Saccharomyces cerevisiae S288C: one gene and its partners. The gene in region 1 interacts genetically with each later gene. Each region holds a gene or a part of one and is shown in the gene's direction. Other genes may lie near its edges. The genes, in order: TPM1, CHS5 and YPT31.

What was found.
Region 2: mutations in TPM1 (region 1) and CHS5 together harm fitness more than expected from each alone (negative genetic interaction), as found in Saccharomyces cerevisiae (5 studies listed by BioGRID, with this or other methods).
Region 3: mutations in TPM1 (region 1) and YPT31 together harm fitness more than expected from each alone (negative genetic interaction), as found in Saccharomyces cerevisiae (5 studies listed by BioGRID).

The regions. Positions count from the first base shown.
Region 1 is NC_001146.8:477,981-481,320, reverse strand, and holds TPM1 (tropomyosin TPM1), read left to right. Parts: upstream 1-2,155; coding exon 2,156-2,755; downstream 2,756-3,340. Other genes in the region: NIS1 (Nis1p), read right to left, coding at 330-1,553; EOS1 (Eos1p), read left to right, coding at 3,289-3,340.
Region 2 is NC_001144.5:786,164-789,763, forward strand, and holds CHS5 (Chs5p), read left to right. Parts: upstream 1-1,500; coding exon 1,501-3,516; downstream 3,517-3,600. Other genes in the region: REC102 (Rec102p), read left to right, coding at 279-452, 550-1,170. UniProt on the Saccharomyces cerevisiae protein: Component of the CHS5/6 complex which mediates export of specific cargo proteins, including chitin synthase CHS3. Also involved in targeting FUS1 to sites of polarized growth.
Region 3 is NC_001137.3:213,576-216,856, reverse strand, and holds YPT31 (Rab family GTPase YPT31), read left to right. Parts: upstream 1-2,109; coding exon 2,110-2,781; downstream 2,782-3,281. Other genes in the region: FIR1 (Fir1p), read right to left, coding at 1-1,794; CHZ1 (Chz1p), read right to left, coding at 2,959-3,281.

The DNA.
Region 1 (3,340 bases):
TCGTGTTGTTTAGAGAAATAATCACTGTATCGTGAGGTTGGTTTATTACCGATATAAACTGTTTGATGAATGTTGAATACTATTATAATCTATTCCTATCAGTATATAAAAGCGTTCAAACGATTTCACATACTTGTGGGAACGAAGAACGCGTCATTACCTTTTTAGTCTACAGATTCGATGCTCCAGTCATTTTTTTCCTTTATTTTCCGTAATGTTCTAGAAGAAATCGAGCGGGGGAAAAAGATACATAGAAGGATAATGTGATTAAATAAAGTTTGATGTCTAAGGCTATGCAATGGCTATGCAATCCAGGGGGGGTTACCTACTTAAAAGGGGTCGCTACTAAGTATACTATCGTCTTGACTGTCGGGTATAATTATAGGATTGCTTTTGGTCTCACCTGCCATCTGGAAGAGACTTGAAGGAGTAGATAAAAGGGACATGTCTAAGTCGCTGGCGTTAGAAGAGCAGACAGAGCTTTCATTCGATGCTGAACCCGGAGAGCAAAGCAAAGTCAGGCGCAGTTGCGTCCTCTGTGTTATAACCAGCATTAAGTATTCTCTCCACAGTTCCAACAGCAGTTGCTCCTTTCTTGCATGCGATTTGGTGTTCAATTTTCCTCTTCTTTTTGGGTGGTACAACACACTAGGGGAAGTATTGGACCGCCCCACATTCTTGTTATAAACAGATCTTGTGGTTGGGGTCGTTGAATTCTGTTTAATTGTTTTCGTCGCCGTCGCAGGCATAGTCGTCGGGAGACTACCTGGTTGTGATTTGGGTAGTTTCCTACTTATGGAGCGGTTCCTTAGATACGGTGGACGACTACTGGTTGCATACATCTGGCTTCTTAAAAATGGGATAGGAGTTACCGCAGGGTCCCTGCTAGTGAGATTTCTGATAGCGTGTAAGTTTACCGGTTGCGAAGCCAGGACATTTGCAATATCCATTTGTTCCAGTTCTATATAGTTCAAAACGGATGTCAGCTCCTTCTTGCTCCTGAATCTTGACCGTACCTTTGCTTGCCTGTCTTCCCTGCGTATGGAGTGTTGCCTCTTCAAAAACCCTTTGTGAAAAATGAAATTATGATTCTTGCTGAACTTGGAGAGTTCATTTTTGCTGGTAAAGTCTGTTCTTCGTTGTGAAGTGTGTCGAATTGGCTTTGCGTTTATGGTAGGAGAGCGAGACCTCATCTTATAATTCGACCATTGCGTAAACTGTTCCATCACTTCAGTGCTTTCAACCTGGTCCGCTTTGCTTATGTTACGGTTCCTCAAGTGCGAAGCATCGTGGTACTCCATATATGGTTTGAAGCTGTCGTGTGTTATATGAGAGTCATCCGATATTTGCACTATAGGAATCTTGGTATCTGAATTTGAATTTGTGTTCGAATTTGTGTTCGAATTTGTGTTCGAGTTCGAGTTCGAGTTCGATGTAGAATCCACAAGCGCATGTATATAACCTGAAGTGGTAAACCCACCGGTACCCAGGGGAGGTGGGAACAAAGTCGGGGGATAAGACTGAGTCCCAATGCTAGTCTCGTATGTCTCCATTGTCTGTATGGTTGTATTTCAAGACGTATCTGCAAGAAAACTGATGTTTGCGAGTTAGGAACAGGGAAAAATACATGAATTAAGAAATACGAACGATCTTAACTATTTTCAACAGTACCTGAAACATGGATGTAAAAACGTAGAAGATACCCGAATAAAGTGGGGCGCACACCGGACTTGAAACCACTCCTCCTTTACCAAGCACTAATTTAAGCTAATCTAATTTAACGCAGTACATTTTGTATGCGCGGCAGCAGCTTAATACATTGCTGTCATTCACTAATGGAAAAAAAAAAAAAAAAAAAAAATCAAAATATAAAAATAAATATTAAGAACTTAAAAAGACAAACCAGCCATCGCGTGGCGCTAGCACATATATCTTACCCGACGGAGAGCCGGGTAAAGAAGTCGGGTAACCATTAAAATAAAAAATCAGCACACCATAGCACGATCTACGAGAAACGGAAAAGTGTTAGAGATCACATACTGCATACTTGGCAAGAAGAAGGTTCGTTTTTCCCTTCTGATACTGTAAAAGATTAGGTTGGTAGAAGAAATCTACATAGTAGAACTCACACCCCATACACACAAAAAAGGCAACAATGGACAAAATCAGAGAAAAGCTAAGCAACTTGAAGTTGGAAGCCGAATCATGGCAGGAGAAGTACGAGGAGTTGAAAGAGAAGAACAAGGACTTGGAGCAAGAGAACGTCGAAAAGGAGAATCAGATCAAGTCTTTAACCGTCAAAAACCAGCAATTGGAGGATGAGATCGAGAAGCTGGAAGCGGGACTTTCTGACTCTAAGCAAACAGAACAGGATAACGTTGAAAAAGAAAATCAGATCAAGTCCTTGACGGTGAAGAACCACCAATTGGAGGAAGAGATCGAGAAGTTGGAAGCAGAATTGGCTGAATCCAAGCAATTGTCCGAGGACTCTCACCACTTGCAGTCCAACAACGACAATTTCTCCAAGAAGAACCAGCAATTGGAAGAAGACTTGGAGGAAAGCGACACCAAGCTAAAGGAAACCACTGAGAAATTGAGAGAGTCCGACTTGAAGGCAGATCAATTGGAAAGAAGAGTAGCTGCCTTGGAAGAACAAAGAGAAGAATGGGAAAGAAAGAACGAGGAATTGACCGTCAAGTACGAAGACGCAAAGAAGGAACTGGACGAAATTGCTGCATCTCTGGAAAACTTGTGATCTACTTTTGTTTTTTGTTTTCTTTTTCTTTTCCCCAACACGCTGGTCTTTGTTCCTTGTTCTTGAGCAAATCAAACGCTCATGGGCAAACGAAACTAAAATAAGAACCATTTATACAAATACAATAGCTTAGACTATACATCTGTATACTTTTCCCTTGAAGATGTTTTTGTTCTTTACCGTTTGCGTGCTGATTTATGATGTTTTTACATTGGGCGTTATTACCCGAGCGGCGTTTTGTTCGTGGGACTCACACTTGTGCCTGCTCCCATGTTAAGTTTTGCACGGTTTATCACATGGACAAAGGCATTCTCATATTACACAGCTACATGTGATATATATCGGGCGTTTCCACGTGTACAAGAACCTGAAAAGTTTATCGGAAGACTAAGTTTTGGGTTGCCCACCGTCTGTGCATCTACGTGAACACACCAGGGTTTCTCATTTCTTTTTTCTTTAAGTTTTTTTTCTCTTCCCTTCCCTTCCTTTGGTCAAATAATCTTATTTGATTCTTCAGGGTTTTAAAAAACCAGATGACGTGGATACTAAGTACTGGTATGGGCCCTCATGAGGACAAGTATGCCA
Region 2 (3,600 bases), on another chromosome or scaffold:
ACAATTTCCAATTTTCCCCTACAGGAATTAATTGGAGGGTACAAGCGAGTAGAAATGTGACATATGACTTACCTATCTGTGTTTTAGTATAGTTTTTTTTTCTGTAGTATAATTCACTTTTACACTAATTTTTTCGCCTTTTTCTCTTAAAGAGCTAATTTCTATAACCTTCAGCGGTTATACCAAATATAAAAAATGGAAGGAAAACAAACAGTAAGAAATAAGCGCAACAGCACGTTAGTTCACCATTGGATTCCAACATTTCAAAATTTAATCTAATGGCAAGAGATATCACATTTTTGACCGTATTTTTAGAAAGTTGTGGCGCTGTAAATAATGATGAGGCAGGAAAATTGTTATCTGCTTGGACTTCAACCGTACGCATTGAGGGACCGGAATCAACCGACTCTAATTCATTATATATTCCACTGCTACCACCTGGAATGTTGAAAGTATGTTTCTCCTAGCAAAATTAAAACCCATCCGTGAATGAAGCGTTACTAACTATAATAACTGGTAGCTTTGTCACTCGTACCAGGAAAAGTGAAGATTAAACTGAATTTTAAAATGAACGATCGATTAGTTACGGAAGAGCAAGAGTTGTTTACAAAATTGCGCGAGATTGTAGGTTCAAGTATTCGCTTTTGGGAGGAACAACTGTTTTATCAAGTTCAAGATGTAAGCACCATAGAAAACCACGTCATTCTCAGTTTAAAATGTACAATTTTAACGGATGCTCAGATAAGTACGTTCATAAGCAAACCCAGAGAGCTTCATACGCATGCCAAAGGATATCCTGAAATCTATTACCTTTCCGAGTTATCAACAACTGTCAATTTTTTTTCTAAAGAGGGAAACTATGTCGAAATAAGCCAGGTTATTCCTCATTTTAATGAATATTTTTCCTCTTTAATAGTGTCTCAATTGGAATTTGAATACCCGATGGTCTTCTCCATGATTTCAAGGCTCCGATTGAAGTGGCAACAAAGTTCGCTCGCTCCGATATCCTACGCCCTAACGAGCAATTCAGTACTTCTTCCAATAATGCTTAACATGATTGCCCAAGACAAATCTTCAACAACCGCGTATCAAATTCTGTGTCGAAGAAGAGGTCCTCCAATTCAGAATTTTCAAATTTTTTCCTTACCGGCTGTAACGTACAATAAGTAGCATGCATAAAATATAATTTAATCAAATACTTTTGGGCAATTAAAATTTTAGTTAACAATAGTTATGCAATGCGCTTTATGTTCATATGATACCGTTTATAAGCTATTGCCATATCCTTATCTTATTGCTTCCAGTAGCCTCGAGTCGACCACTAAAAAGATGTCACTTAAGACGGAAATTATGTAGCTGCACTTCTTTTTTAACAAGTTCGGTCGGCCCTTCAAGTTCTCCTTTCTAAAGCCTCATTATTTATTGCGTAGATGCTAAATGTTATCGCGGTTTAGCTTGCATGTTACGTTTCCGTTTTAGAACCTGGTCGAGTAGCGAATAATGTCTTCAGTTGATGTACTGTTAACAGTAGGTAAGTTGGATGCCTCATTGGCGTTACTGACTACTCAGGATCATCATGTTATTGAGTTTCCTACAGTATTATTACCAGAAAATGTTAAAGCTGGATCTATCATAAAAATGCAAGTTTCACAAAATTTAGAGGAGGAAAAAAAACAAAGGAATCATTTTAAGAGTATACAAGCCAAAATTTTGGAGAAGTATGGTACCCATAAACCGGAGAGCCCAGTTTTGAAAATTGTTAACGTTACGCAAACGAGCTGTGTTCTAGCATGGGATCCATTGAAACTTGGCTCAGCAAAATTGAAATCACTGATCCTTTATAGGAAGGGAATACGTTCAATGGTAATTCCAAATCCATTCAAAGTGACTACCACGAAAATATCCGGTCTTTCCGTTGATACGCCATACGAATTTCAATTGAAACTGATAACCACGTCAGGAACATTATGGTCTGAAAAGGTTATATTGCGTACACATAAGATGACTGACATGTCTGGTATCACTGTATGTTTGGGTCCATTGGATCCATTGAAAGAAATTTCAGACTTACAGATATCCCAATGTTTGTCTCACATCGGGGCGAGACCTTTACAACGTCATGTTGCGATAGATACTACGCATTTTGTCTGTAACGATCTAGACAATGAAGAAAGCAATGAAGAGCTTATAAGGGCAAAACATAACAACATACCAATTGTCAGACCGGAATGGGTGAGAGCTTGTGAGGTTGAGAAAAGAATCGTTGGTGTTAGAGGATTTTACTTAGATGCAGATCAAAGTATACTGAAAAACTACACATTCCCACCAGTTAATGAGGAAGAACTTTCGTACTCAAAGGAGAATGAGCCGGTAGCCGAAGTAGCGGATGAAAATAAGATGCCCGAGGACACAACAGATGTCGAACAGGTTGCATCACCTAATGACAATGAGAGTAATCCTTCAGAAGCTAAGGAACAAGGAGAAAAGAGTGGACATGAAACTGCCCCAGTAAGTCCTGTAGAAGATCCATTGCATGCTTCGACGGCTTTGGAGAATGAAACCACCATCGAAACCGTCAACCCCTCCGTAAGAAGTTTGAAAAGCGAACCTGTTGGTACTCCCAATATAGAGGAAAACAAAGCGGACTCTTCCGCAGAAGCCGTGGTAGAAGAACCGAATGAAGCTGTGGCTGAAAGTTCTCCAAATGAAGAAGCAACGGGACAGAAAAGTGAGGATACCGATACACATTCTAACGAACAAGCTGATAATGGATTTGTACAGACTGAAGAAGTAGCTGAAAACAACATAACCACAGAAAGTGCAGGGGAAAATAACGAACCTGCAGATGATGCAGCAATGGAATTTGGACGTCCAGAAGCTGAAATTGAAACTCCAGAAGTAAATGAGTCTATAGAAGATGCCAATGAACCTGCGGAGGATTCCAATGAACCTGTGGAGGATTCCAACAAACCTGTGAAGGATTCCAACAAACCTGTGGAGGATTCCAACAAACCTGTGGAGGATTCCAACAAACCTGTGGAGGATTCCAACAAACCTGTGGAGGATGCCAATGAACCTGTGGAAGATACCAGTGAACCTGTGGAGGATGCCGGTGAACCCGTACAAGAAACCAACGAGTTTACTACCGACATTGCCTCTCCAAGACATCAAGAAGAAGATATAGAACTTGAAGCCGAACCTAAAGATGCTACCGAAAGTGTTGCAGTCGAGCCATCCAATGAAGATGTAAAACCAGAAGAAAAAGGTTCAGAGGCAGAAGACGATATCAACAACGTTTCCAAGGAGGCTGCCTCTGGTGAGAGTACTACCCACCAAAAAACTGAGGCCTCTGCTTCTCTTGAAAGCAGTGCCGTCACGGAAGAACAAGAGACAACGGAAGCCGAAGTAAATACAGATGACGTTTTGTCCACTAAAGAAGCTAAAAAAAATACTGGCAACAGCAACAGTAATAAGAAGAAGAATAAGAAGAATAAGAAGAAAGGGAAAAAGAAATGATTAATGGATGCCTTCAATGAGTTCCACGACGCACGTTTATTTTTTCGACTGAGAATCCCTCAGCAAATATAATCTATTTTTTAT
Region 3 (3,281 bases), on another chromosome or scaffold:
ATGGTCAGCAACTTCAGTAGAAAAAGCTTCGTTTTCATCCTCTGGGCATTCAATAAGTGATGGTGATGGTTCTCTTGTATGAGAGATACTTTCATCTGGTATAATTTGAATCGAAGGTACCGAGATTTCTTGGAGGAAGGACCCATTTTTAGGTGATTGAGCTTCAGGAGGAATATCAGATGTTTTTGGAGATGACGTGAACCGTAAGGGTGATCTCTTAGGTATTTCAATGGAAGTACATGGGTTAGAATGTTCAACAGGAATTGAGGGAGCAGAGGTCGGAGCTGGTGGTGTGGAGGTTGCCTCGAAATTTAAGGAAATGTCATCAATATTATGAACGCTCCTGCTTCTCCTATGTTTATGTATCCTCGGATTATTATTCGTCGGAGATTTTTGCAAGTCTATTAACATCTGTCTTCTGGATTCAAATGATTGATTCACAGGCGAAGTATCAACTTTCAGGAAATCTTCATTGTTCGTGTCTCCAGAGTTTCTATTTTCATGTACCTTATCCACATTATTGTTAGTAGTACTGGAGGGAAATTTGAATGACATATCGAGTTTGTCCAGTGATTCAGGGTTAACTTGGCGAGTTGGAGAAGTTGGCTCCTCGCTAGGTTCAAACTGCTGGAAAAATTTTAATGTCCCATTTAAACCTGTGCTTGGTGGGGATTTCATGTGCTCTAAGTCGGGGATGTCTATCAGTTTATTTGGTGTTGACAGAATTTTTAACGAAACATTTTTTTCAGTGTTTTTTTCCTCACATTCCCTATCTGTTTTACTCTTAATATGTTGTGGGTTTTTGAGATTTCTCCTTTGTATCTTCAGATTGACGTTGGCGTTCTCATCAATTCCAAGAAGCTTATCAGCATCTGCATTATTTAACTCGAAAGACACATCATGGTGGGCATATGGAATAGAATCATCTTCATCTGAATACGACGATGAGGGCTGTTCTAGAGAAGATTCAGTTGACGATGAGGTGTTACCTTCTTGAAACTGGCTATAGCCATCCCCATCGTAAACCAAGCTACTCCTCTTTTTATCCTTGTTTTGCGGAGATAAGTAGGGCGGCAGAGATATTTCTAATGGAACTGGTAAATGATATCTGTTCAATGGCGATTCAGGAGTGAGATATAAATTCTTTTCGGGAGTTAAGGGAGGAGGCCTGTCAAATGATAAATTCAGCGGAGATACTTGGCTAATATTACTAGTATTCTCATTAATACTGGTCTCAACCTCGGTTGCACGATATGTGTTCATTGTATCCACAATGATCGACTGTAATGATTTTGATCTAGAATGGTTTGGTTCTTTTCCACTACTACTTGTGTTGGACCTAACATCAGAACGAGTTTTACGGTGCCTGCTTTCACATTTTTTTCTCCTGTTATGATGAAACTTCCAAACTTCTTTAGGGACATCGACCAGTATTTTAGAGTGCATGTCGACTAAATGACCATGGCTATTCATAAGTAATGATGAAGTAGACATTCTTCTTTCGGTTTCATTTCCACTCTTGGGGAATACAATTTTCAGTGGGGAGTCCTGTGATATTTCATTTGGATCTGGAATGGAAAATCGAACCTGCGATTGTGTATGCTCATGGGGTTTCTTGTTCTTGCTCGATCTCTGTCGCGGTATAGCAACACTCTCTATATTATTAGTTCTATTAATGGCTAGTAAGTTTTCGCGTGGGCACAACACATCACGGCATTGATCATGGTCCATCTCATGTTGTATCGATAATGTACTGCACACTTTGCTCTTGACAGGTGTAACAGGGAGGCTCATAATCGGAAAAAAAGCTTCAGATCTATCCCAGCGCAATCTAATTGCACTAATTAGGTAGTAGTCTTGCTGTAAGTATGTTGTATTGTTGTTCCTAGGCGTCAATTCTACTGTTGTTATGTTTGGGCTCGTTTGTTGTTTGTTTACCATTTTCCAATGCGGAATATCACAGGCCGCTGCGGTGTGCGGGTGCTAAATTAGAGAAAGAGGGAAACTCAAAACTTTTCAAGAAAGAAACGAATAACAATTTGACCTTTATTACAAGGCACTTTGTTTAGGCCAGCAAAGGGATTCTGACGGCGTCTGGGGATTTCAACAATGAGCAGCGAGGACTACGGGTATGATTACGACCTACTATTTAAAATTGTACTGATCGGTGATTCCGGGGTAGGGAAATCCAATCTATTGTCAAGATTTACGAAGAACGAATTCAATATGGATTCAAAGTCTACAATTGGGGTTGAGTTTGCCACCAGAACTTTGGAAATTGATGGCAAGAGGATCAAGGCGCAGATTTGGGATACTGCGGGCCAGGAACGTTACAGAGCCATTACTTCTGCTTATTATAGAGGAGCTGTAGGTGCCTTGATCGTTTACGATATCAGTAAATCAAGCTCATATGAAAATTGTAATCATTGGTTATCAGAATTAAGAGAAAATGCAGATGACAACGTCGCAGTGGGGCTTATCGGTAACAAGTCTGATTTGGCCCATTTACGTGCTGTACCTACGGAGGAGTCCAAGACTTTTGCACAGGAAAATCAGTTATTATTCACAGAAACAAGTGCTTTGAACAGTGAAAACGTGGATAAGGCTTTTGAAGAGTTAATCAATACCATCTATCAAAAGGTCAGCAAGCATCAAATGGACCTTGGTGACTCCAGTGCCAACGGGAATGCCAATGGTGCGTCCGCTCCTAATGGACCAACGATTAGTCTGACACCAACACCAAACGAAAACAAAAAGGCAAATGGAAATAACTGTTGTTAAGAGATATTTTGCAGCAGTTGCGCACTTGCATGTGAATGACTCTTCTCCCCTTTAATTCTGTGCTATATTTTTACAATTTTCTGCTGACATATAGTTTATATACATATAGAACGCATATAGGAAATTGAAGTAAACAGAATACACAAGTAGAGGCCGGTATGTACGACATTTTGCTTACTACTCTTTAAAATCATCGTCTTCTTCGTCTTCATCGTCTTCTTCTTTTTCACCATATCCTACATCATCTTTAGAGCCTGTGCTAGGTTCCTTCTTGTCTAATTCTTCTGCAGTCTTTTTATAGTCAATTACTTTGCCGCGTGTTCTTCTTCCGGATGTGATGATATTAGAGGTATCAATTTCTGCCAAATCGTCCTCTTCTTCTTCTCCCTCATTTCCCATCAATGCGTCTAACTTGGCATCGTCCATATCAGATTCAGAATCTTCAACAGTACCATTATTTTCGCTCTTCGTCAAACCATTTTTAGCCTTAGTCTCCTCTT